Linked DNA regions of Elephas maximus indicus. The protein of the gene in region 1 interacts with the protein of each later gene in a pairwise test. Links are inferred from orthologs where the notes say so. Each region holds a gene or a part of one and is shown on either strand. Other genes may lie near its edges. The genes, in order: APIP, PDZD4 and NUDT18.

What was found.
Region 2: the proteins of APIP (region 1) and PDZD4 interact in a two-hybrid assay, tested with the Homo sapiens proteins (2 studies listed by BioGRID and IntAct). The two-hybrid records come from large-scale screens. The link is inferred for Elephas maximus indicus from reciprocal best matches to the Homo sapiens genes APIP and PDZD4.
Region 3: the proteins of APIP (region 1) and NUDT18 interact in binary tests that used the Homo sapiens proteins (3 or more experiments, as listed by UniProt). The two-hybrid records come from large-scale screens. The link is inferred for Elephas maximus indicus from reciprocal best matches to the Homo sapiens genes APIP and NUDT18.

What each region holds. Positions count from the first base shown.
Region 1 is NC_064825.1:90,201,015-90,208,607, forward strand, and holds the start of APIP (methylthioribulose-1-phosphate dehydratase), read right to left. Parts: upstream 3,063-7,593; 5' UTR 3,037-3,062; coding exon 2,980-3,036; intron 1-2,979. Other genes in the region: PDHX (pyruvate dehydrogenase protein X component, mitochondrial), read left to right, coding at 3,409-3,586. UniProt on the Homo sapiens protein: Catalyzes the dehydration of methylthioribulose-1-phosphate (MTRu-1-P) into 2,3-diketo-5-methylthiopentyl-1-phosphate (DK-MTP-1-P).
Region 2 is NC_064846.1:2,522,720-2,530,579, reverse strand, and holds the start of PDZD4 (PDZ domain-containing protein 4), read right to left. Parts: upstream 3,081-7,860; 5' UTR 2,874-3,080; coding exon 2,814-2,873; intron 1-2,813.
Region 3 is NC_064840.1:52,592,419-52,600,354, reverse strand, and holds the start of NUDT18 (8-oxo-dGDP phosphatase NUDT18), read right to left. Parts: upstream 3,047-7,936; 5' UTR 2,858-3,046; coding exon 2,696-2,857; intron 1,393-2,695; coding exon 1,179-1,392; intron 955-1,178; coding exon 359-954; 3' UTR 1-358. UniProt on the Homo sapiens protein: Mediates the hydrolysis of oxidized nucleoside diphosphate derivatives. Hydrolyzes 8-oxo-7,8-dihydroguanine (8-oxo-Gua)-containing deoxyribo- and ribonucleoside diphosphates to the monophosphates. Hydrolyzes 8-oxo-dGDP and 8-oxo-GDP with the same efficiencies.

The DNA.
Region 1 (7,593 bases):
TTGACAAAGGCCCCAAATCAGTTACATGGGGAAAAGAGTCCCTTTAACAAATGGTGCTGGCATAACTAGATATCCATCCGCAAAAAAATGAAACAAGACCCATACCTCATACCATATGCAAAAACTAACTCACAATGGATCAAAAACCAAAATATAAAATCTAAAGTGATAAAGATCATGGAAGAAAAAATAGGGACAATGCTAGAAGCCCTAATACATGGCATAAACAGTATACAAAATATTACTAACAATGCACAAACACCAGTAGAGAAACTAGGTAACTGGGAGCTCCTAAAAATCACACACTTACGCTCATCCGAAGACTTCACCAAAAAAGTAAAAAGGTTACCTACAGAGTGGGAAAAAGTTTTTGGGTATGACAAATCCGATCACCATCTGATCTCTAAAATCTACATGATACTGCAAAAACTCAACATCAAAAGGACAAATAACCCAATTAAAAAATGGGCGAAGGATATGAACAGGCACTTCACTAAAGAAGACATTCAGGTACCTACCAGATACATGAGGAAATGCTCATGATTATTAGACATTAGAGAAATGGAAATCAAAACTACAATGAGATTCCATCTCACCCCAACAAGGCTGGCATTAATCCAAAAAACACAAAATAATAAATGTTGGAGAGGTTATGGAGAGACTGGAACACTTATACACTGCTGGTGGGAATGTAAAATGGTACAACCACTTTGGAAATCAATTTGGTGCTTCCTTAAAAAGCTAGAAATAGAAGTACCACACGATCCAGCAATCCCACTCCTTGGAATATATCCTAGAGAAACAAGAGCCCTCGCACGAACAGATATATGCACACCCATGTTCACTGCAGCACTGTTTACAATAGCAAAAAGATGGAAGCAACAAGGTGCCCATCAACAGATGAATGGGTGTATATATATATATATATGGTACATTCACGTAATAGAATACTATGCAACAATTAAGAACAACGATGAATCTGTGAAACATTTCATAACATGGAGGAATCTATGAGGCATTATGCTAAGTGAAATTAGTTGCAAAAGGACAAATATTGTATGAAACCACTATTGTAAGAACTCACGAAAAAGTTTAAACACAGAAGAAAACATTCTTTGATGGTTACGAGGGTGGGGAGGGAGGTAGAGAGGTATTCACTAATTAGATAGTAGACAAGAACTACTGAGATGAAGGGAAAGACCACATGCATTAGAGGAGAGTTCAGCACAACTGGACTAAACCAAAAGCAAGTAAGTTTCCTGAATGCTACCAAACCCTTTGAAGGCCAGAGTAGCAGGGACGTGGGTCTGGGGACCATGGTTTCATGGGATATCTAGGTCAACTGGCATAACAAAATGTATTAAGAAAACATTCTGCATTCCACTTTGGTGAGTGGTGTCTGGGGTCTTAAACACTAGCAAGCAGCCATCTAAGATGCATCAATTGGTCTCAACCTACCTGGAGCAAAGAAGAAAGAATACCAAAGACACGAGGTAAATATGAGCCCCAGGGACGGAAAGGGCCACATATCCAAAGACTACATCAGTCTGAGACCAGAAGAAAGAGAGAATGCCCAGTTACCACCCATGACTGCCCTGACAGAGAACAAAACAGAATCCCTGATGGAGCAGCAGAACAGTGGGATGCAGACCTCAAATTCTCGTAAAAAGACCAGACTTAACGGTCTGACCTAGACTAGAGGGACCCCAGAGGTCACGGTCCCTGGACCCTCTGTTAGCCCAAGACAGGAACCATTTCTGAAGCCAACTCCAGGCAGGGACTGGAGCGGACTACAAAACAAAAAATAATACTGGTGAGGAGTAAGCTTCTTGGCTCAAGTAGACACGAGACCATGTGGGCAGCTCCTGTCTGGAGGAGAGATGAGAAGGCAGAGGGGGACAGAAGCTGGCTGAATGGACACAGGGAATACAGGTTGGAGAGGAGGAGTGTGCTGTCTCATTATCGGGAGAGAAGCTAGGAGTACATAGTAAGGTGTGTTTAAGTTTTTGTATGAGAGACTGACTTGATTTGTAAACTTTCACTTAAAGCACGATAAATTTAAAAATTTTTAAAAAGAAAATCTATGGATCACATCAGAACACTGTCCAACTCACTTGCTTTGAACTCATCACCAGGAGGGAACAATCGCTAGAGGACAACATTTACCCTGAAGTAGAGGGCCATGGATACCTCTGTGAGATGGACTGGCACAATTGCTGCAACTATGCACTTGAACATGCCAGTTATCATGAGGATGATACAGGACTAGACATCGTCTTCTGTTGTACTTAAGGTTGCCATGTGTAACATAAAGAAATAATGTCCAGTTTGAATCATCCTTATGATCACTGGCATCTATGAGAGAGTAAAAAATATATAGTCTGTGAGTAGATTTTCCTTTGACTTCAGCTTAAGGAAGAATCGTTTTCATGATCATTCCATAATCTAAACTGAGGTAGGCAAACAGCATCTGCTCAAAGGAAAAGTGCTCGCTACTGAGGCTTAGCTCTGGTTCGGCAAACGTTTCCTGAGTGCCTGCTGTGTGCCAAACGTCGAGTCAGTCGCCAGAGGACAGAAAATAAGTTCGAGGAGCTCAAACTGTTAGTTAGCTTCAGTTCCACTCCAGGACTCTTCGTTTCTTTCCTCGTCCTGCCTTCCTGACAAGTGGTTTTAAAACACACTTATAAGACGCCCAAACGCACTCCCCGCTCCGTTATTTTTCCTCTTGCACGTTGGGGGACAGCTCCCGCCGCTGCTGAACCCAGCCAGGGTAGCGGCGATCGTCACGGGTGCTGCCCTCAACTCCGCGAGGGGAAGCAGCGGGGTGCGGGGGTCGTGTCCCCTCAGGCCCGAAGCACCGCCCAAGGCTCCACGCCTCGCTGGCGACCCTAAGACAGGCCCACGTCCGAGCTCCGGCAGCAGCGTCCCAACAGCGCCTTGCCTCATTGGAATAAAGGACACCGGTGGTACCGCCCCTACCTGAGCGAGGCATTGCTGCGGGAAACAGTCGCCTTCCGGAGCACGGCAGCCAGACATAGCCTGGACAAGATGGTCCCGCTGCCTCCGATCTTCGCACGGGATCGCTCCTGGAGTTCCACCTGGGTTCGCACGGTGAGGCCTCAGAAACAATCAGGCGGTGCTGAGGGCAGCCTAGAGGCGGGGTGGACAAGGTGGGAGGCGGGGCCTGAGAGGGCCTCACCGACTGGGAGATCCTGTGGCGAGGCAGGAGGGCCGGGGTGGGGCCAAAGAATTTGGGGGCGGGGCTAGGAGGGCGGCTTGACTCTGAGGCCCAAAAGCACAGCCCCAGCCAGGGGGCGTGATCAACTAGATTGGAGGCGGGGCCTGGGGGGGCCTCGATGACTGGGCGATCAGGCTGTGCTGCGGACAACCCGCGCGAAGGCTGGGAAAATGGCGGCCTCCTGGAGGTTAAGCTGTGACCCCCGTATACTACGCTACCTCCTGGGTTTCAGCGGCCGCCGAAGCCCCGGGCCGCTTAAGGGCCCCGGGCTGCTTAAGGGGGCTGCCGCGTGCTTTGGCGGCCGAGTAGGTAGTTGGAGATGGTTTCACGGCACACAGTGGATGCATGGTGAGTGAGTGGGGCTCGCTCAGCGCCTCTGTAGCTGAGCAATGGGCCCGAATAGGTCCATTACTAACTGAGGGTGTGCGTCTGGGTGTGGAGGTTCCCGCGGCTCCCTGTTCTCTTGGCTCGTCATCCGGGAGGGATCCGCGGGCTTGGCCTGGTGCATGCCGCAAAGGTTTTTCCTGGGTGTTGGGATATCTTTACTCCGTTTCTGGTCCCTCATCGTGATCCTGCTTTGAAATTTGGGTTATTTACGAGGCAGCGGAGAAAGGGCCTAAACGCCCTTCTGTCAGGTCCCTAACGAGTCACGCCTCAGGTTCCTTTAGGGTCGTCAAGCACCTCGTACGGGGGAAAGCTGCCAAGGTTGCTGACAGCTAAATGCCACTGTTAGACGTTTTTATTCATTCTGTATGACCATCTCTACTGAGAGGTTTTTTCCTAGAGGCCAGTCGGGTTGCCCCACGGATGTCTCCTAACGGACATGGTTTGTAAATGCCTATGGCATCACGGAGAGAGGTCTGAGTTACCGTCCCCTTGCTAAGAGGAGAATCATACCAAGACATTTATTGTAGAACGCTGTCATTTAGTAATGATGTTGACAAGATGAAATTGGCATAACCAAAACCAAACCAAACCCAGTGCCATCGAGTCGATTCTGACTCATAGAGACCCTATAGGACAGAGTAGAACTGCCCCTTGGAGTTTCCAAGGAGCGCTTGGCAGATTCGAACTGCTGACCCTTTGGTTAGCAGCTCTAGCACTTAACCACTACGCCACCAGGGTTTCCAGAAATTGGCATGCAGGGTATTATTTTTCCTTACATGGGACAGAAGAAAATAAGATTAGTGTTTTTTTGATTGACCTATTTATTACCTGCCAATCATCATTCCTGGGTCTCCACAGAATAATTTTTTGTTTTAAAAATTAGGTGCAGTAGGCATCATCTACATATTCTGAGCTACCTGAGGCTCAGAAAAGATAAGTTACACGAAGTCACACAATTAGATGAGTGCATTGGTGTTTCTAAAGATTAGGTGATGGAAACAATTTCAGTTTCTTCAGCATGATATTTCATAAAATATTCCTTGGAGTGATGGAAGCCCTCTCCCCCCTCCTCTACCCAAGTTTGTTAAAAATCGAATTTTTGTATAGCTCACCAAGATCCTGTCTGGGGTGAAGCCCAGGATTCTGCATTTTACAACCACCCTTAGGTGAGTTTTAATATAGGTGTTTGATGGACTACACTTTAAGATATACTGCCTAAGAAAATCATGGAATATTAAAAGCTCAGTGTTGGGAATAATCTAGGAAGAGTTTTCTTAACTTTGTTTATGAAACAGGTCCTTTTGAGGATCTTTGAATGCTCTAGAGCCTTTCTGCAGAGAAAGGGGCATATGTGTAAATACACAAAAATATGCATGCAATTTCAGAGGTTTTCCTTGGACCCAGTTGAGGGACTCCTGCCTTTAGAAACTCACTTAAACCTACTAAACCAAACCCACTGCTTACAGGACAGAGTAGAACTGCCCCTTAGAGAGAAACTCACTTAGGCAGTCCTTATTTGCATCATAACCTTCTACCCCCTTCCTTCCCACACACACACAGCATGAGTAACTTGTCTAACTCTGCTTGAACATCATCTGTAAGGAGAGGGAGCTACACCCCAAGGAAGGCTGTGTTGGTTTCCCATGGCTGCTGCAACAAATTAACACAAATTTAGTGGCGTAAAACATCACAAATTTCTTATCTTGCAGTTGTGGAGGTCAGAAGTCCAAAATTGGTTTCATGGGCTAAAATCAGGGTGTTGACAGGGCCATGTTCCTCTGGAGGCTCTGGCCAAGAATCCGTTTCCTTGCCTTTTCCAGCTTTTAGAGGTGGCCTGGATTCTTTGGTTCCTGGCTTCCTTCCATCTTCAAGGCCAGTGATGGTCAGCTCTGTCTTACATCAGTCTTGACACTTCCCCCTGCTTCCCTGTTAATTATAAGGACCCTTGTGATTGCACTGGGAACACCTGGATAATCCAGGGTACTCTGGCCCTCAGAATCAGTTGATGAGCAACCTAAATTCCATCTTCAGCCTTCATCTTCCTCTTACCTCGTAACATAACCACAGGTTCTGGGGTTAGGGTGTGGAAATTTGGGGGAGGGGTCGGTTATTCTGCCTACTGCAGATGCCTACTGTGTTATTGGATAGCTGTAAGTTATTTGGAAACTTTGGATTTTTTTTTTTTTCCTGTATCGAGCCAAAATTTATCTCCTTATGACTTTGACCTACAAGTTCTTGTTTTGCCATGCTGAATACATGTGGCAGTCCTTAAACTATTTGATTTACAAAGCATGAATTTACAGTGTCTTCCCAGTTCTTCATTGAGCTCTGTAGAAATTGTAGTCCCATGAAACTAAACAGCTATCTGGTAATCTGTAGGCTATGTGATTAAGTACATTAATGAACTGTTTCCTCTTTCACACCTTTCAAGGATTTAAAAACCTGTTAATTGGAAGTACCTTTGGAGTTTTGGTTTCCTTAAAAAGTGTTCATTGGCAGCATTTTTATAAGCTGTGACATACTTCATATGCTTACTAATTCCGAGAACTTCTTATCCGCTTCTCAAACAGCCTAGTAGAGTGGGCATTATCTGCATTTTTGATGGATGAAAATACTAAGGCTCTGGGAAATTAAGTAGGTCTCCATTATAATGTTAATGAGCTGAATGTATATTTTAAAACAAATTTTAGTAATATTTACATTGTGAATTAGCTTTAATAAATGAACTGTGTAAACCAGTTGCCCTGGAGTCAGTTCCAACTCATGGCAACCCCTGTGTGTCAGAGTAGAACTATGTTCCATAGGGTTTTCAATGACTGATTTTTCACAAGTAGATCACCAGGCCTTTCTTCCAAGGTGCCTCTGTGTGGACTCCAACCTTTCGATTAGCAGCCGAGTTAACCTCTTGCACCACCCAGGGACCCCTATATATTGCCTACCAAGTATACACACCCCATTTTATTTATGAAATCTGTTGATTCATATGCTTTCACTTAGCATCCAATGGCACATTTGTAAGGAGGCTGTCTGGAATTGTTAGGTAGTCTGTGGTTGTAGATATTTTTCCTATGAGTGAAATAAACTAAAAACGTCAGAAGACTTACCAACTTGTAATACGGGTCTTCTTAGTATTAAAGTGTAAAATTAAAATTCCTCATGAATCCCAGTTTATTTTGCAATTGTGGACAAGCGTAAAAAAAAAAAGTCACTTACAGTCTAGCAAAAGAATAAACAAGCACATATAATGGAAGATTTATACATTTTGTTTTAAGAGGCAAGCGACAAATTTCAGACAACAGTGATTTAATTGATACTTTTCTGCAACTGTGTAAATTATGGACTTTTTTTGTATTAAACGAAACGTTGTTGTTGGGTGCCTCAAGTCCATTCTGACTCATAGTGACTACATGGGACAAAGTAGAACTGTGCCATAGGATTTTCTTGGCTTTTTTTTTTTTAATCTTTATGTTAGCAGATCGCCATGTCTTTCTCCTGTGAAGCCACTGGATGGGTTCAAACTGCCAGCCTTTCGGTTAGCAGCCAGGCGCTTAACCATTGCACCACCACACTGCTAGGAAGAATTTAGGGAAACCCTGGTGGCATAGTGGTTAAGTGCTATGGCTGCTAACCAAAAAGTCGGCGGTTCGGATCCACCAGGCGCTCCTTGGAAACTGTATGAGGCAGTTCTGCTCTGTTCTGTAGGGTCGCTATGGGTCAGAATTGACTCGACACCAATGGGGTTTTCAAGTGTATAGTTCAGGAGATCTTGCTTGGGATTCTTCTAGCACTGGCTTTTAGAGGGGCACAAATCTATTTGAAACTGATAAAAGCTTTACCACTTCAGAAAAATGCATATATGCAAACTTTCGTATGTGCTTCCAGGGGCCTGAAAGACCCCCCTATAACTTATCTTTAAATATTTCCTAGTTCTAACCTGTTTCTGTAAACATTTTCACTCATTTTCTACA
Region 2 (7,860 bases), on another chromosome or scaffold:
GAAAAGATGCTGTCTCATTAGTTATTAAAAAACCAAAACCATTCCCACTGAGTCGATTCCAACTCATAACGACCCTAAAGGACAGAGTAGAAGTGCCCCATAGAGTTTCCAAGGAGCACCTGGCGGATTCAAACTGCCCACCATAGCACTTAACTACTATACCAGCAGGGTTTCAAGGAAATGCAAATCAAAACCACAGGATACGACTTCACCCCTCACTGGGATGGCTATTATCAGGAAAAACCTGAAAACAACAGGTGTTGGGGAGGATATGCAGAAATTGGAACCCTTGTGACTTGCTGATGGGAATGGAAAACAATTTGGCGGTTCCTTAGAAAGTTAAACATAGAATGATAATACGACCCAGCCATCTCACTCCTAGGTATATGCCAAAAAGAATTTGAAAACAGGTGTTCAAACAAAAACTTGTATAAGAATGTTCATAGCAGTATTCACAACAGCCAAAAGGTGGAAAGAACCCAAGAGTCCATCAATAGATGAATGGATTAAGCCAATGACACATACATACACCAGAGTATTACTAAGCCAGAAGGAAGAAGGAAGTCCTGATACATCTCTGCTACAGCAGAGATGAACCTTGAAAATATTATGCTGAGTGAAAGATGCCAGATTAAAGAAAAAAAACATATACTGTATGATTCCATTTATATGAAATGTCCAGAACAGGCAAATCTATGGAGACAGAAAGTAGGCTGGTGGCTGTTGAGGGCCGGGGAGACGTTAGCAGGAAATGGGAAGTGGCTGCTACTGGGTATGGGTTTTCTTTTAGAGGTGATGAAAAGTTCTAAAACTGATTGAGGTGATGGTTACACAACTCTGTTGAATACACTAAAAATCCCTGAATTGTACACTTTAAATGGATAAACCATATGGTGTGTGAATTATATCTCAATAAAGCTGTTACTTAAAAAAAGTGCCTATGTGTCATTGGGAGGAAAGGGTTTGGAACTCCAGGCTAGGATAGATTTGGGGATTCTTAATTGGGGGGAGGGGCGGGGCGCAGACCTCAAGACCAAGGAAGAGTTATATGGAAACTGTACTACACATGGAAACCCTGGTGGCCTAGTGGTTAGGAGCTACAGCTGCTAATCATAAAGGGTGGCAGTTGAAATCCACCAGGTGCTCCTTGGAAACTCTACGGGGCAGTTCTACTCTGTCCTATAGGGTTGCTAGGAGTTGGAATTGATGGCAACAGGTTTGGTTTTGTTTTTTTGGTGCTACACACAGACATTTCTCTGAGAGGCAGCCCCACGCATCATGTCTTGGTGGGGTCTCTGACCTTGTTGAGGTGCCATGGTGAGCGCTGACCAGGTCGCTCAGGAGGTGGGTGAGGGCAAGGAGAGACAGGGAGAGGTGCCAGCTGAAACGAAGGGCACCAGTGACAAGGAGAGGGGATCCAGGCAAGGGTCTGGGAAGTGGACTGATCTTTCAGGACAAGAGTTTCATTCTCCTCTGAGAGGTGGCACGAGCCTGGGGACACTTTCCTTACTGTGCCCAGGAATCCATTGTCACTCCAGAAGCCAAGTCACCTGAGACATCTAATGGTTTTCCCTGCTTTCCATATCTTGTTTGTTCAATCCCCTTTTGTTGCCCCTTCCTTTTAAAGAAGGGTTCTCTTAAAACTAACTCCATCCCATCTCAGCTGGTGCCAAGGGGGATAAGGAAAGTGATGGTTTGTGTCCAAAGTTCAGCAGGAGCTTTAAAGGGGAGTGGTGACCCCTGGGGCGCCGATCAGTGGCAGCTGCAGGTCCGGAAGGAGCACAGAGGAGCACAGAGGGTGGCTGATGGGCCCCTCCCCGGATTTCCTTCCCAAGTCCATTCATTGGGGGTGGGGAAGGCTGGCATTCTCCCGCTCAGGTTTGCCTCAAGCCTTTCTTCCAAACTGAGCCTCCCAGAAGGCAGCGTCCCCTCCCACCAACTGCTCACTTCAGTCCTGTGGCAAGGCTCCAGTAGCCCTCCCCTTTCCACACAGCCTGGGGAGGCTAGTCTGAAATGAAGCCCTCCACCAGCTGCTCTCCAAGAAAGTGAAGAGACTCCGCCACTAAGAAGCTGCTTGTCATTTGATGGAATGATTGCAGGAAAAGAAGCTGTGAGATGGGATCCTGTGCCCCTTCAACAGCCCAGCCACCTCCTCCCGCAGCCCTGGAGCTGACACTGGGCTGGGTAATCCCAGAACCCTCTCTCGCTAAAGGAGAATGGCGATCTCCCAGGCCAGGTTCTCAAACAGCTAGAACCAGAGAAAAGAGAGAGGGGTGGGAAAGGAGTGCGGGGGGGGGGGCTAGAATGGGGGGGCACGGAGAGGGCAGCGAGCGGAAGGCCGCGGTGTCTGGGGAATTCCCTCCCACTCGTCTGGGTAGCCCCTGCAGGGCTCCCCCGCCCCGGCTACACTTGCTTCCGGTCCTCACCACCAAATCCAGAGTTCCACCCCAGCCGCTGGTGTAGCACCTGTCCGTGCGCCCGGCTCTGCCACTGGCCTCCCTCCGCTAAGGCCCGGGTCTCAGTCCTCACCGTGCGGAACCTTACTCTAGACAGATCGCAGGGTCCACACAGAAAGTGCACACACGCGGGGCTGGGCCTCCGCGCACACAGACGGGCACAGGCACGCACTCACGCAGGCACGCGCACGGGCAGGAGGCCCGCTTGGGGCGCCGGCTGAGGTCGGGTCCGAGCGCGCTGCCCGGTCCACGCCCCCCGGCGCCGCCACACACGAGGGCAGCGGGCTCCGGCCCGCCCCGCCTGGGGCCACAGCGGGCCGCGCCCCTTCTCAGCCCGCCCGCCGCCGGCGGCCCTACCTGCAGCATCACCTTGTACTGTTCCTCCGGCTTCTGCACCACGCACATATTGCACCCCATGGTGCCGGCGGCGCCTGAGCGCGGGGCGCGATCAGCGGGCAGAGCGAGGGCCCCGGGCTCCCGGGCCAGTGGCCATGCCTTTCGCGGGTGACGGGCGGTGGGCGGCGGGCATGCCCCGCGGGGAGAGCAAGGCGGCGAGGGGGCGCGCGGGCCGTTAGCGGCCGTCAGGGCCCGGGGCTGCGCGCCTCTGCGCCCGCGGGGCCCGCCGCTGCCGCTACCGCCCGCGGCTCGCGCCCATGGCCGCCGGCGGGAGCCGGCTGGAGCTCGGCACGGCGGCCCGGCCGCCGACTACGGGGCGGCGGCGCGGCGGCGGCCCCCGCCCGGCCCGGCCCGCGCCTCCTGCTCTGGCTCGCTCGCCCGCCCGCCGCCCCGCGCTCTAGCCCTTCGCACCGCTCCAGCCCGCAGCGCCGCCGTCTGCAGCTCCCGCCTGAAGTACCGGCACGCGCGCGCGCCGCGGCTGGGGGCGGGGGCGGGGGCGGGGGCGGGGGCGGGGGCGGGGGCGGGGAGGGCGCGGACGGGCGCGCGCGCGCGGGCCGGGGGCGGGGCCTGGACGGGCCCGGCGCCCCGCAACCCCCCGCGGCCGGGCCCGGGACCTGCCGCCGGCGCTGTGCCGGCCGGCGAGAGGGTCCTGGGGGCGGAGCCGCGGTCCCCCCGAAGCCCTGAGCGCGATTGCAGCCCCTGTCCTAGGTCCCCGACAGAGCCGGCTGAATGCCTCCACTCCTCCCTCCGCCTTCCTTTCAATGACTTCTTTCCTCCTTCAACTCAGCGTTCCCGCCCTGTCGTTGAAATGGTCACCTTTGTTTAAAAAAAAAGAGAAAAGCCTGAGGTGCGGTGGGGTCGTGGGGAGAGCCAACGAGGCGACTCCGACTCCGTGGGGCCCTCGTGCGCACAGCGCTGGCTCGCCTGGTTCCCACCCCGCGCTCAGGCTTCCTCTTCTCTCCCAGATCCTGACCCTTCTTCTTGGACACGCCTGGAGAGAGGAGGCCTTTGCCTGGCAAGTAGCAGCGGCTTGAGGGCTGTGTTCCCAGGGGACCAGGGGAGCTGCTGAACCTGGCCCCCTGCCTGCAGGAGATTGCTTGATTAAATTGCTTCACGCTTCATTTCCAGGCTTGGGCAAGTGACAGAATCATTAACCACACCAAACCAAAACCAAACCCAGTGCGGTAGAGTCGATTCCGACTCACAGCGACCCTATAGGACAGAGTAGAACTACCCCATAGAGTTTCCAAGGAGCGCCTGGATTCAAATGGCCGACCCTCTGGTTAGCAGCCGTAGCACTTAACCACTGCGCCACCAGGGTATTGACCACACAGGGCTGCGTAATTAGCGGCGTTGGGGAAGGCTCCACCGAAGCCAGTCTTGTCTTCTGGCTCCTGGAGGACAGGAATGGGGAATGGTGGGCCTGCCTGGACTCTGGATCGGGGATCTGTTTTATCCTGGGTTTCTCCCAAAAAGGAGAACTTGAGAGCAGGGCCAGCGTACAGGTGGTTTGTGTTGGAATGCGGTCTTAGGGTTCAGGTATAGTTGCCTGGGGAGACAGAGGAAAGGAGGAAAGCCTGTGCAAGGGTGCATTCTTAGTGGGGCGCCACTCTGAGCAGCTGGTGCTTGACCCGGCAGGAGCTGGGTAGAATGCATCTCAGAACTGTCTGCCCAAGACCAAAAAAATAACCCAAACCTGTTGCAGTGGAGTCAATTCCGACTCATAGTGACCCTCTAGGACAGAAGAGAACTGCCCCATAGGGTTTCCAAGGAGCGGCTGGTGGATTCCAACTGCCAACCTTTTGGTTAGCAGCCAAGCTCTTAACTACTGTGCCACCAGGGCCCAAGACCAAAAAGGGGAGCATTTATTTATCCACTCCTATCCCCCTCTGCTCAAGAGTCACCCCACAAGGGAGAACTGCCTTGCATCCCCACAGGCCCCTACGAGAGAGGCACAGCAGCTGTGGAAACCTGAGTGTCCCAGCAATGGCTGGAGCAGATGGCAGGCCAGAAGGACGTGCAGCCAGGCACCAGAGATGTCCAGTCCCACCCACCCCTTGCAATGCTCAGATCTCCTCATACCCACCGTTACCTACAAGCGGACACTAAGTCGAAGTCTCTATAAGAGACGTCGTCAGGAGGGCCAGTGAAACGGGCTAGAGTCCCCGAGAATGTAACTGGGCTACCCATCATCTCCTCTGTAGCAGCTTCTTAAGTAACTTTTCATTTTGAAACAACCTTAGGTTGACAGAGAAATTGCGCAACACTACAGAGAGTTCCCATATACCTTTCTCTCCCCTTCCCCGAAGGTCAACATCGAGTGTAACCTCAGTATAATTACCAAAATTTGCGTATTAGCACGGACATAAGACAAAGAAAAAAAAATTTTTTTCTTTTTTTTTTAAGACTACTAGATAATCTCTGTGTTTACAAATGCCACCAGTTTTTCTACCAATGTCCTTTTTCTGGTTCAGAATCCAATTCAGGATCCCACACTATATTTAGTTGTCGTGTGTCCTTAATCTTCTCCAGTCTGAGCTCCTCAGTCCTTCTTGGCCTTTTCATGACCTTGAGACTTTTGAAGCATACTGGCCAGTTATTTTGTTGACTCTCCCTCCATTTGGGTTGTCTGGTGTTATCTCATGATTAGACTGAGGTTGTGCATTTTAGAAAGAATACCCCAGATGCCACGGACCATTCTCAGTGTATCATATTAAGGGGTACATGATGTCGCTATGTTTTATTACTCGTAATGTTAACCTTGGTCACTTGGTGTCTGCTAGGCTTCTTCGCTGTAAAGCAACTATTTTTCCCTGACGGCACCTAACAACAACAACAATTAATAAATATCTTGGAGACAATACTATAAGACTATGCAATATCTCGTTTCTACTCAAACTTTCACCAGCTGATTTTAGCATCCATTGGTGGCTGTCATGGATTGAATCATGTCCCCCCAGATATGTGTGTATCAGTTTGGCTGAGCCGTGATTCCCAGTACTGTGTGATTTTCCTATGTGTTGTAAATCCTGCCTCTCTGATGTTAATGAGGGAGGATGGGTGGCAGTTGTGTTAGTGAGGCAAGACTCAACCTACAAGTTTGGATTGTGTCTTGAGGCAATCTCTTGAGATATAAAAGAGAGAAGCAAGCAGACGGGCAGGGGGACCTCATAACACCAAGAAAGCAGCACCCAGAGCAGAGCGCATCCTTTGGACCCGGGGTTCCTGTGCAAGGAGCTCCTAGTCCAGGGGAAGATTGATGAGAAAGACCTTCCTCCAGAGGCAACAGACACAGAACCCTTCTCCTGGAGCTGATGCCCTGAATTTGGACTTCTAGCTTACTAAAAAAGACTGTGAGAAAATTAATTTCTGTTTATTAAAGGTATCCACTTGTGGTATTTCTGTTATAGCAGCACTAGATGACTAAGACAGTGATTATTGCTGGCAACCATTATTACTATGGTGTTTGCCTAATGGTGCTTTTTGTATTAGCTAGCTTTTGCTATGTAACAAACTATCCCAAAATGTGGTTTAAAACAACAATCATTTATTAGCTCACAGTTTTGTGGGTTGGCCATTTGGGATGGGCTCAGATGATCTGGGCAACCTGCTGGCAATGTAGCTGGGGCTGGATGGCCAAGAATGCCCTCAGACACATGGCAGTTGCTGGAAGGCTGCCAGCCAAAGTGCTCATTTCTCCTTTTCATGACTCCTCCAACAGGCGAGGTTGTCGTCATTCACGTGGTGGTAGAAGGGTTCCAAGCTGCATGAAAAGGCAAGGCCCACGGGCAGGCATTTTTCAAGCCTATGCTTTTTTTTTTTTTTTTTTGCTTGTGTTATAAAACCAAAGGAACCCAAACCCGTTGCCATCGAGTTAATTCCGACTCATAGTGACCCTATAGGACAGAGTAGAACTGCTCCATAGGGTTTCTCAGGAGTGGCTGGTGGATTTGAACTGCTGGCCCTTTGGTTAGTAGCTGACCTTTTTTTTTTTTTTTTTTACAGTCTATGATTTTTTTATTGAGATATTTTATCTGAAGGTACACAAAAATTAATCAATTGCTTTTAGCATGTGACTATGACATATCAACTCTACTGCCTCTCAATAAAGAGTCAACAATTACTTTTATAACATTAAGGTAATTAAAGTCAGTGGTAAAAGACAGTATCAAGTGAGACTTGTTAGCATTTATGACCAATCATAAATAAATAAATACCAATCTTAAAAACCACATTCCAGAGTAAGTGCAATCAAACCAAGTACAGACAAGAAAGTTCAAGGAGCTCACTGGCTTTGCTATATCAAACGGATAAAAAGTAAAATTGACTCCATATTACATACAGGTCTACATAAACAAATAAATGGACCCTATCGTTTCTTTCTGGGGGTACGCTTAGATTTCTTCTACCACTTCAATAGGATAAGCTCCTTAGAAAAAGATTGAAAAGGTTTGATAATCAACTCCCAAATTTTAGGCTTTGTTTTCCTACTTCTATCAGTTTCTTCACATATTTAGTATAAGCAGGAAAATCTTTCAGTAAATCAAGCACTTGCGAGTCTAGAAAGATCTGGAAGAGCTCTGGCAAGTTACATTTATATTACATACATATGTTGCTTTTGGTTTCCCATCTCTTCGTTGCTTCAGATCTCCATGCAAGTTTCTTCTTTTTTCAAACAACCTGTGAATTTTCAGCATCCTTTTCGGCTTTTACAAAGTTGTGGCAGGCGATAGCTTTGGCAATTTTAACACCAAGCTCTCGAGTAGCCAGCTAGTTGCTGAGTTCCTCAGTCTTCTCAATATTCCACTCTTTGGAAGTCTGGTCTATGCTCTTTTCAAGACCTGACTTGTCAATTTTTTTCTTTTTTACAGGGGGACCGAACCTATCATTGACTCCAAAGTATTGAGTAAGTTCCTTCCACTGGGTTTCATTTGAGAATTGTTTACTACAAGACGTCTCTTGATTCTTCAATTTACTCTTCCTGGAGCGTTTTCTTTTTTTCCTCCTG
Region 3 (7,936 bases), on another chromosome or scaffold:
CCTGAGAGGACTCAGATGTAGGCATGTATGGAGGTGGACACAGGAAATGATGACTATATGACATCTCAGGTTCAGACAGTTCCCACATCCCCTTATGAAATAGCTTCAGTTTGCCCTCAGGGCAATCAGGTCCCCGAGCTCTGGACTCCTTGCTTGGTTAAAGGCACTGTCCTTCTTGGTGGGTGTGATGTAGGACCTGCTCCATAGCCAGGGAGAGATGGGAATCCCCTGAGAATCAAGAAAACTGCCCCTGCTCCCAATGCAACAAGATCCCTGGTCTCCAGCTTCCTGTCTCCCTCAGAGGAGAGATGAAGCCGTGGTGGAGGAGAGCAGCTTCTTGCCCACTCCTGGCCCCTTCCTATCTGTTGACTGGGATGACAGATGACTCCTGAAGCCTCTGTAAGAGCTGGCTTTGTAGGTCCTTCTCTACTACCTTCCACCAAAAGAAGTTCTCACCCCGAATCTTCGGGGGCTCATTTTGGATACCTGGGTTCCGGAAAGCCACTGTCACCAGCACATTCAGACAGATGCCATCTGTGTGGTCTTTGCCCAGATGCTGCAGTCCCAGCAACCCCTTGGTTTCCACTGCCAAATGGTGCAGGGTCAGACACTCCTGTAACAGCCGCAGGACGGCCATCTTCATGCCGCCCCTCTGCTCCATGGGGGTGAAGCCACAGGCCGTGATGGGCAAGTGAGGCATCCCCACGGTGCCCACCAACACCCACACAGTCTGGACACTGGTAAAGGTGGCCACGAGCCGTTGGCAGACCAGACTGCAGGGAAGCTCTTGGGGTAAAATTAGAGGGTGCCTAGCTTGCTGGCAATATTGGGCAGCTAGCTCTACCAGGTACAGCATGTCGTGGGCTCGCAATGGAGTAGGCAGGGAGGTTCGTGGGTACCAGCCAGCCTGTAGGGACTCTGCATCTGCATCCTTAGAAGTCTTGAGAATTCCACCTAAGGGGATTTGGGAGACAGGATAAGCAAAAGAGAAGTGCCTGGTCCGGCAGAGTAGAACAGACCCCCAGGCTCTCTAGCCCCGACCCAGGGAGGAGGCCCAGAGTTCTCAGGCTTGTACCAGCCACAAGAGGGCTGGCTGTGGAGGGGCTCGGCTCGTCTCACCTGAAGACAAGCTGGGGGAAAAGGTGTCAATTGCTCCCTGCCACCAGGCAATACTGTACCTGTGGGGCGAGCGAGGAACACAAAGCGGACCCAGGAGGGGCCCCGTTCCTCCACAGACAGCAGAGTCAGAGGCTCACACTGCAGTCCGGCCTCCTCCTTCACTTCGCGCTTCAGTGCCTCCACGATGGTCTCTCCCGGCTCCATTCTCCCGGCGGGTAGGTACCAGGACCCACGGCATTCTCGCTTGGCCTCCTGGATCAGTAGCACCTCATCCTGAAGGGAAAGAGAGGATCCTCACCCCCCCACCACAGCTGGTCTGGGGGCTCCAGTGCTGAGAAGTCCAGAGGAGCAGCATAGCCCCAAGCCCTTCCTTGCTGTAGGGCCTGATCACATCTCACATTCATTCTGCCTAACACGCCCCTCCTGACACCCAGCTGCCATCGCATCAACTCCAACTCATGGTGATGCATTATGTATTAGAGTAGAACTGGGCTCCACAGGGTTTTCGAGAGCTGATTTTTTGGAAGTAAGACCACCAGGCCTTTCCTCCAAGGTGCCTCTGGGTGGACTTAAACCTCCAACCTTCCGGTTAGCAGATGAGCACGTTAGCCATTTGCAGCACCCAGGGAGTCCTCCTTTCTGATGGCCACCGTCAAATGGTTGAGCTATTCAGGAGTACCTTCTGTAATTCTTCCCTCTTCAGATTCAGAAGGAGCCCTGGTGGTGCAGTGGTTAAGAGCTCAGCTGCTAACCAACATGGTCAGCAGTTCAAATCTACCAGCTGCTCCTTGGAAACCCTATGGGGCAGTTTCACCCTCTCCTACAGGGTGACTATTCTGACTCGACTGCAACGGCTTTGTTTTTTGGTTTTAGATTCAGGAAGACTTCCTCTTGAGAAAGGGGCTGAGATTCCTGGGTGTTGCTTCAGGGGTTGGGCGTGTGGCCCCAGAGTGAGACTCACTATGAGTCCTGAGCTGAATCATGTCTATATTTGTCACTATGTATCTAGACTCGCCACATAGTTGATTAACTGCTTATGACTCGTCCTTTCACTAATGGCTACATTTTGAATCATGCCCTTCCTCAACCCTATGTAACCCTATGTATGGTCCTGGCCCCTTCTAGCTGTTATTACAGCAACTTGTACAGGAAAATCAGTACCAAAAAGGGCATTAGACAGGAGTCAGAAGGCCTGAGTGTAAGTGTGGGTTCTGCTATTGCTATTCGTGGGGCCCAGGGGAGGTCTCCGATCTTCAAGAGAGCCCACTACGTGCCAAGCACTGTACTGGACTCCTGGGAAAGGAAGATGAGTAAGACAGCCCTCCCCTCAAGGTTCTGAGGCCTAGGGGACAAACCTGGGAAAGAGTTCCAGAGCCCCTGGGCCTCAGTTTCCTCCTCTGTACATCGGGATGATAGCAGTCCTGGACCGCACCAGGCTCAAATGCTAGTGTAAGTGAAAGTGCTTTGCAAAACTGGAAAATGCCACACACAAGCGAGCTGCGGTTGTCTCCACCTGGGCTGCCTGCGTGCTCGAGAGGCCCGGCGGTGGGGCTGGCGGTCGGCCGCGGCCACTCACCTGCTCGTTGAGGAACACCGCCAGCACGACGTAGCAGACGTTCTTCCGCAGCCGCACCGGGGCCACCAGCTCCTCGGCCGGCACCGAGTCGCAGCTCTGCACGAGCGGCCCCCCGCCCTCCAGCACGTCCGCCAGCGCCCCCGCCAGGCCTTCAGAGGCCATCGGGTCCCGTGGGAGGCGGCGGGCGCTGACCGCGCAGAGCAGCCCGACGCAGTGCGACGCGAGCCGAGCGTGTGGCCGGCCGGTCTCTCCCCACCCCCTGCCGCGGCCTCGGCCCGGGCGCGCTCGCGAACGCGGAAGGGCCGGCGAGCCCTCGCCGCTGATAGGCTGCGCGTCACCGCGGCCGGCCCCGGTTGGCTGGCCAGCGCAGGGCCCGGAGGGGGCGGAGCCAGTCCAGAGGGGGCGGAGCCAGCCCGGAGCGCAGGGGGAGCCGCCGGGCAGCGCGGCCTCCCGCCGGGCGTCGGCTGCTCCTGCAGCCTCCTCTGTCTTTCCGGATTTCTCCCGCCGCCGACCTCGCTCATTCCTTTAGTGCGCACTTGCCTCTACTGGTTCCGAAGGTGACGTCATCCTGCCTGCCGGGTGCAGAGACGCCCCAGTGGCTAGCGACGATGACGTGACAACGAGCGCGATGACGTCACGGGGCTTTGGCACGCGGCTTAGATCCACTTTGGAACTTTTGTTGTAAACAAGCAATGCCATTACTCCAGAGGATCACTTTCCAAATGACTTTCTTCTTTCAATGTCACATGGCAGGGGAGACCTAACCCCCGTGTTGGAGATTCTAGTTGGGGAGATGGACATATACATATAAAAAAGGCATCTGAGGGTTATAAGCTAAGTGCTAAATGAGTGATGTGGCAGGAGGTGTGACAGGCACTCGGAGAAGGGAGAGGTCACCTCCGGGATGACCAAGGTGTGGTACGGCGGGCGGGGGGGTTGGGGGATAGGCTGAGAGAGGGCCTGGAATCAGCCGGCCAAGCCTCATCAGTGTAGGACGTTACGCTTCTTCCTCTTTGTTTCCTTCCACGAGTACACGGGCCTGGCACATTGAGAACAGGGTGTGGGTTGTTTTGGTGAGCTCTGCTTCTCTCCCAGGCTGACCTTTCCTCCTCAGAGCTTCCTTTAACCTCCTCAAAGGACAGGAAGTCTGGACCAGCTGGAATGAAACTATGAAGCAAGCCAAGTCTGGGCTCCTCACCTCCATTTAGGCCTCCCCTTTACTCTTTCCCTCCTGCTGGCTTTGTGTCCCTCCCTTTTGAGAGAGTGCCTGTGGTGAGATGGATAAAGCATTGGACTTGAAGCTAGAAAGTCTGGCCACTGCCCCTGGCTTGCTCTATGCCCTTGGGAAAGTTATGGGCCTCCGTTTCCTCATCTGTAGAATAAATAGAATCATAAAAACTCTTCACAGGGTTGTTTGGGAGGTGAGGCGAGATGTTGTGGGAGTTGCTCTGTGCACTGTCCAGTGTTGGGCAGAGGGAGGTGCCATCATCCGGCAGCCCCCCAACCCTCCAGGCTGAGCCCTCCTGGCCACAGGACTTGCAATGAAAAAAGGCGCTCCCCCTCATGAAATATGCCTACAGGGCCACCATAGCACTAAACTTTATTCTCGGGAACTCCAGCCACACTATGTTTGCCTCTTTAGGCCCTTCTCATACATACTGACACTAACTGCAAGTTCCCTGGAGGTAGGGCCCTATGTTCAGCCGCAGGACAGCCCCGGTGGGCTCGTGAACTTTTGAGACACTTGGTGAATGCTGCTGCCCTCAGCCATATCCAAGACTTCCTTACCTCCCAGACAACTGAACTTACAAGACTGAGAGCCAGGACCCCAGGACTGCAGAGCAACTTGTTAACTTATTTGCTCTATGTGTGTGTGTTTATCCCTTGGTTTTCCCATCTGTGAAGTGGGGACAGCGTTGGTCCCAGACGCCTTTCTGCCTCCCAGGGATGATTTGAGAGGGAGTGAGGTCATGTCTGGGCAAGGCTCTGAGAGCCTCAAAGGCAGCCTAAGATAAACACCAGACAGCCTAACTGCCTGGAAGAGCGAAGACTACAACAAACCGCGGCTCCACTCCCCCCATTATCACTGAGGGAAAGTCTTCCTCTGCTACCCCAAGTGGGCCTAATCACCGCTGTGGCGAAGATCACATGAGGCAATGGAATGTGCAAAAGTCCCTTGTAAACTGTGAAGGGCTGCACACATGGGAGGGACTGTTCAGCCCTTTCCCAATGCTAAAGGAGACAACAAAGACTCTTCTCAAGGCATTGAGAGGAAGGGAGCATATTCAAGAGACCCTGAGACAGAAAGAGGGAAAAGCTGAGGAGGGAGAGGGGCTGAGATAGAAAGACACGGAGGCTGAGGCAGCTAGGTGCTGAAAGAGACCCAGCCAGTGAGGGTGGTCCTCTAAAACCAGGAACCAAGAAAGATCTCTGTCAAGTTAGGTCTGTGTCCTCCATTCCCAGACAGGGAAGAAAACTGGCTGGTGTGGGTGCCACTCAAGCAATACCAGTGGAGCGAACAGGAACAGCCTGACTGGTACAGTGCCATGCTCCCAACACCTATGGGAGAGAAGCCTGGGCCAGCCATTTCAAGGTGCATACACGTGTGTGCGTGTGAACACGTGTGCGGAAAGGCCTGTAGTAGGGAGCATCAGGGACAAGGGTGGGGCAAGAGTATCTGTGACACTAAAGGCATGTACAGAGTAGCAAATCTTCTTGTCTCTTAACAAAGCATGAAAGGTGAGGAGGGCCATAGCCCAAGCTTCCAGGCCCTCTTACGAAAGAAGTCTGGCTCAGGCTGGGCTCTGCCACTAGCTTGTTGAGTGACCTTAGAGGAACCACATCTATTCTCTAGGCCATCTGTGAAAAGAAGGCATTGTTGGATCCTGGATCAGAAAAAGGACATTAGTGAAAAGCTGGTGAAATCCCAGTAGAGTCTGTTGCTTTGTTAACAAAGTTGTATCAATGTTGATTTCTTAAAAAAAAAAAAAAATTTTTTTTTTTGATAAATGTACCATGGTGTCTTATAAGATGTTAACATTAGGGGAAGCTGGGTGAAGGGTAATTGGAAACTTTCTATCATATCTTGCAGCTCTTCTGTAAATCTAAAATTATTTCAAAATAAAAAGTCTAAACAATTTATAAGAAAAAGAAGGTATTGGATGCGAGGGGATATACACGCTCTGAGCTCATGTCCAGCTCTGAGGGCTGTACATGTGAAATCTGGCCAGTGAGAGGGGCTGGAAACAACAGAAGATTGACAATGGGGATGCTGGGACAGGCCTGTGAGAAGCAGAGGCCCAAAGGGCAGGTCTAGACTGGGGTCAAGCAGCCGCCGAGCCTATATGAGATACAGTGCTATCGAGTGCCCATAGGCCCAGTCTCAGGGTCCGTGCCCACCTGGACCGGGCCAGCCCTGGAACAAATGAACACTGATCCACCTGCTGTTTATAAGCAGTCAGACCACATATGACCTCTGGGATGGGTCACCATGATGGGGTAGGGGTGTGATGCAGATTGGGGGAGGTCTGTGTGGGGAAGAGAGGCCCAGTGACTCCTTAATGGCAAAAGTTCAGAGCACCATCTTTCCACAGCAGGGACCCTGTACTTTGGGTTCTGGGGTGACATCAGGACACGGCTATACACAGTGAAATGTAAGTGGGAATGGGTCATTCAGGGCTACTTGGAACATGATCAGACATAAAGTGCTTAATGTTGGAAGGAGGAGGACAGAGAAGAGGGCAAACCCATCTTTAAACTCCATTAAGAGCTCAGACTATAATGTAAACGAGATGGCTTGAGTCAGAAAACTTGGTTCAAATCCCAGTTCTGCCACTCAAATAGCTGTGTGACCTTGGGTGACTGTCTTAACCCTAATCTGCCCATGTCCTCATCTGTAAAATGGAAATAACATCTACCTCAAAATGTTGGTAAGAGATTATATGAAATAATTTAAATGAACACAGTGCAGTACCTGGTAAAGTGTAGGACTTCTCTATTTTTTTATCCCATGAAAAAAATAACCTAGCTTTCTGAACAATGAAGAAATCTAAATTAAAAAAAAGAGGGGGGGATGGTTACATAAATCATGGCAAAACCACTTAATGGGATATAATGGGACATTTCAATGAAGGTTTGGTAGCAACTTGGACAATGTCTATAATACAATGTTAAAAGACAGAAACCAAGTACAAAACCTTGTGGAAAATACCAAAAGGAAACATACCAAAATACTAATAGTGGTTCAGCCTAGAGCAGGTAGGGATGGGTTTACAGGTGGCTTTTTCTTATTTTGTAATTTTTCTTAAAGTATATTAACGTTTAAAAAAAAATTATTTAATAAAAAAATTCCCCTAACCACCACAGAAACAATCAGGTATAACAATACTTGGCGCATGTATGGGGCTGAGATATACAAGCAGAGGGGTGGAGGGGCAGAGTCACACCAGAGGGAAGTGGGGGGCAGTCAGCTGTCTGAGGCACTCAGGGCTGACCCGCTGGGCAAGGGCTCCTCTGGGCCACATGCATGGATCTCTACCTCAGGTCAGACAGGAGAGGTGGGTGGCTGGGGCCTGGGGTTTGCAGAGAGGGTTGCAGATCCAGGGTCTCTGCGGGCCATTGCTGCCCAGGGAAGCAGTGCTGTTCTGCCCCAGGGCTCTGCCTCAATGCTGTGTCTGTCAGGAGCCATCTTTGGGGGGCAGCCACATAGAAGGCTTTATCTTCTCAGTGAGAGCCAGGGACCTGGGCCCCCAGGAAAAGAGCAGGCAGAGGTGCTGCCGGTCCCTGTTACCCCGGCCCCAGGTTCCCACCCACCCACTCCATTTGCCCCTGCTCCTGAGCAAATTTCCATGTCTCCTCTCCCTCCCCAGACCACGTGGCCTGCATGAGCAGTGCCAACCACACTGGCAGCGTTCACAGAACAACAGACTTTAATGGAAATCTCAAAGGAGAGAGGACGGAGGGAGGGAGGAGCACAGGCAGGGTGGCATCGCCCCAATCACTCCCTCCAGCCAAGCCCGGGCAGTCCCCTGGTCCCATCCCTTCCCCACACTTCACAGCTCTCCAGTGAGAGGGCAGATTTCAAGGGCCCCTTGCCCAGCAATGCCTGCAGTGCAAAGGGTTGCCCAGGGCCCAGGGAGGATGAGGGTGGTGTGAACAGAGCTCAGGGCATGGGTGGGGGCAGAAGGTGATGAGGCAGCGGAAGGAGGTATTGCTAAAGCCAGAAGGATTCCCAAGGTCCCC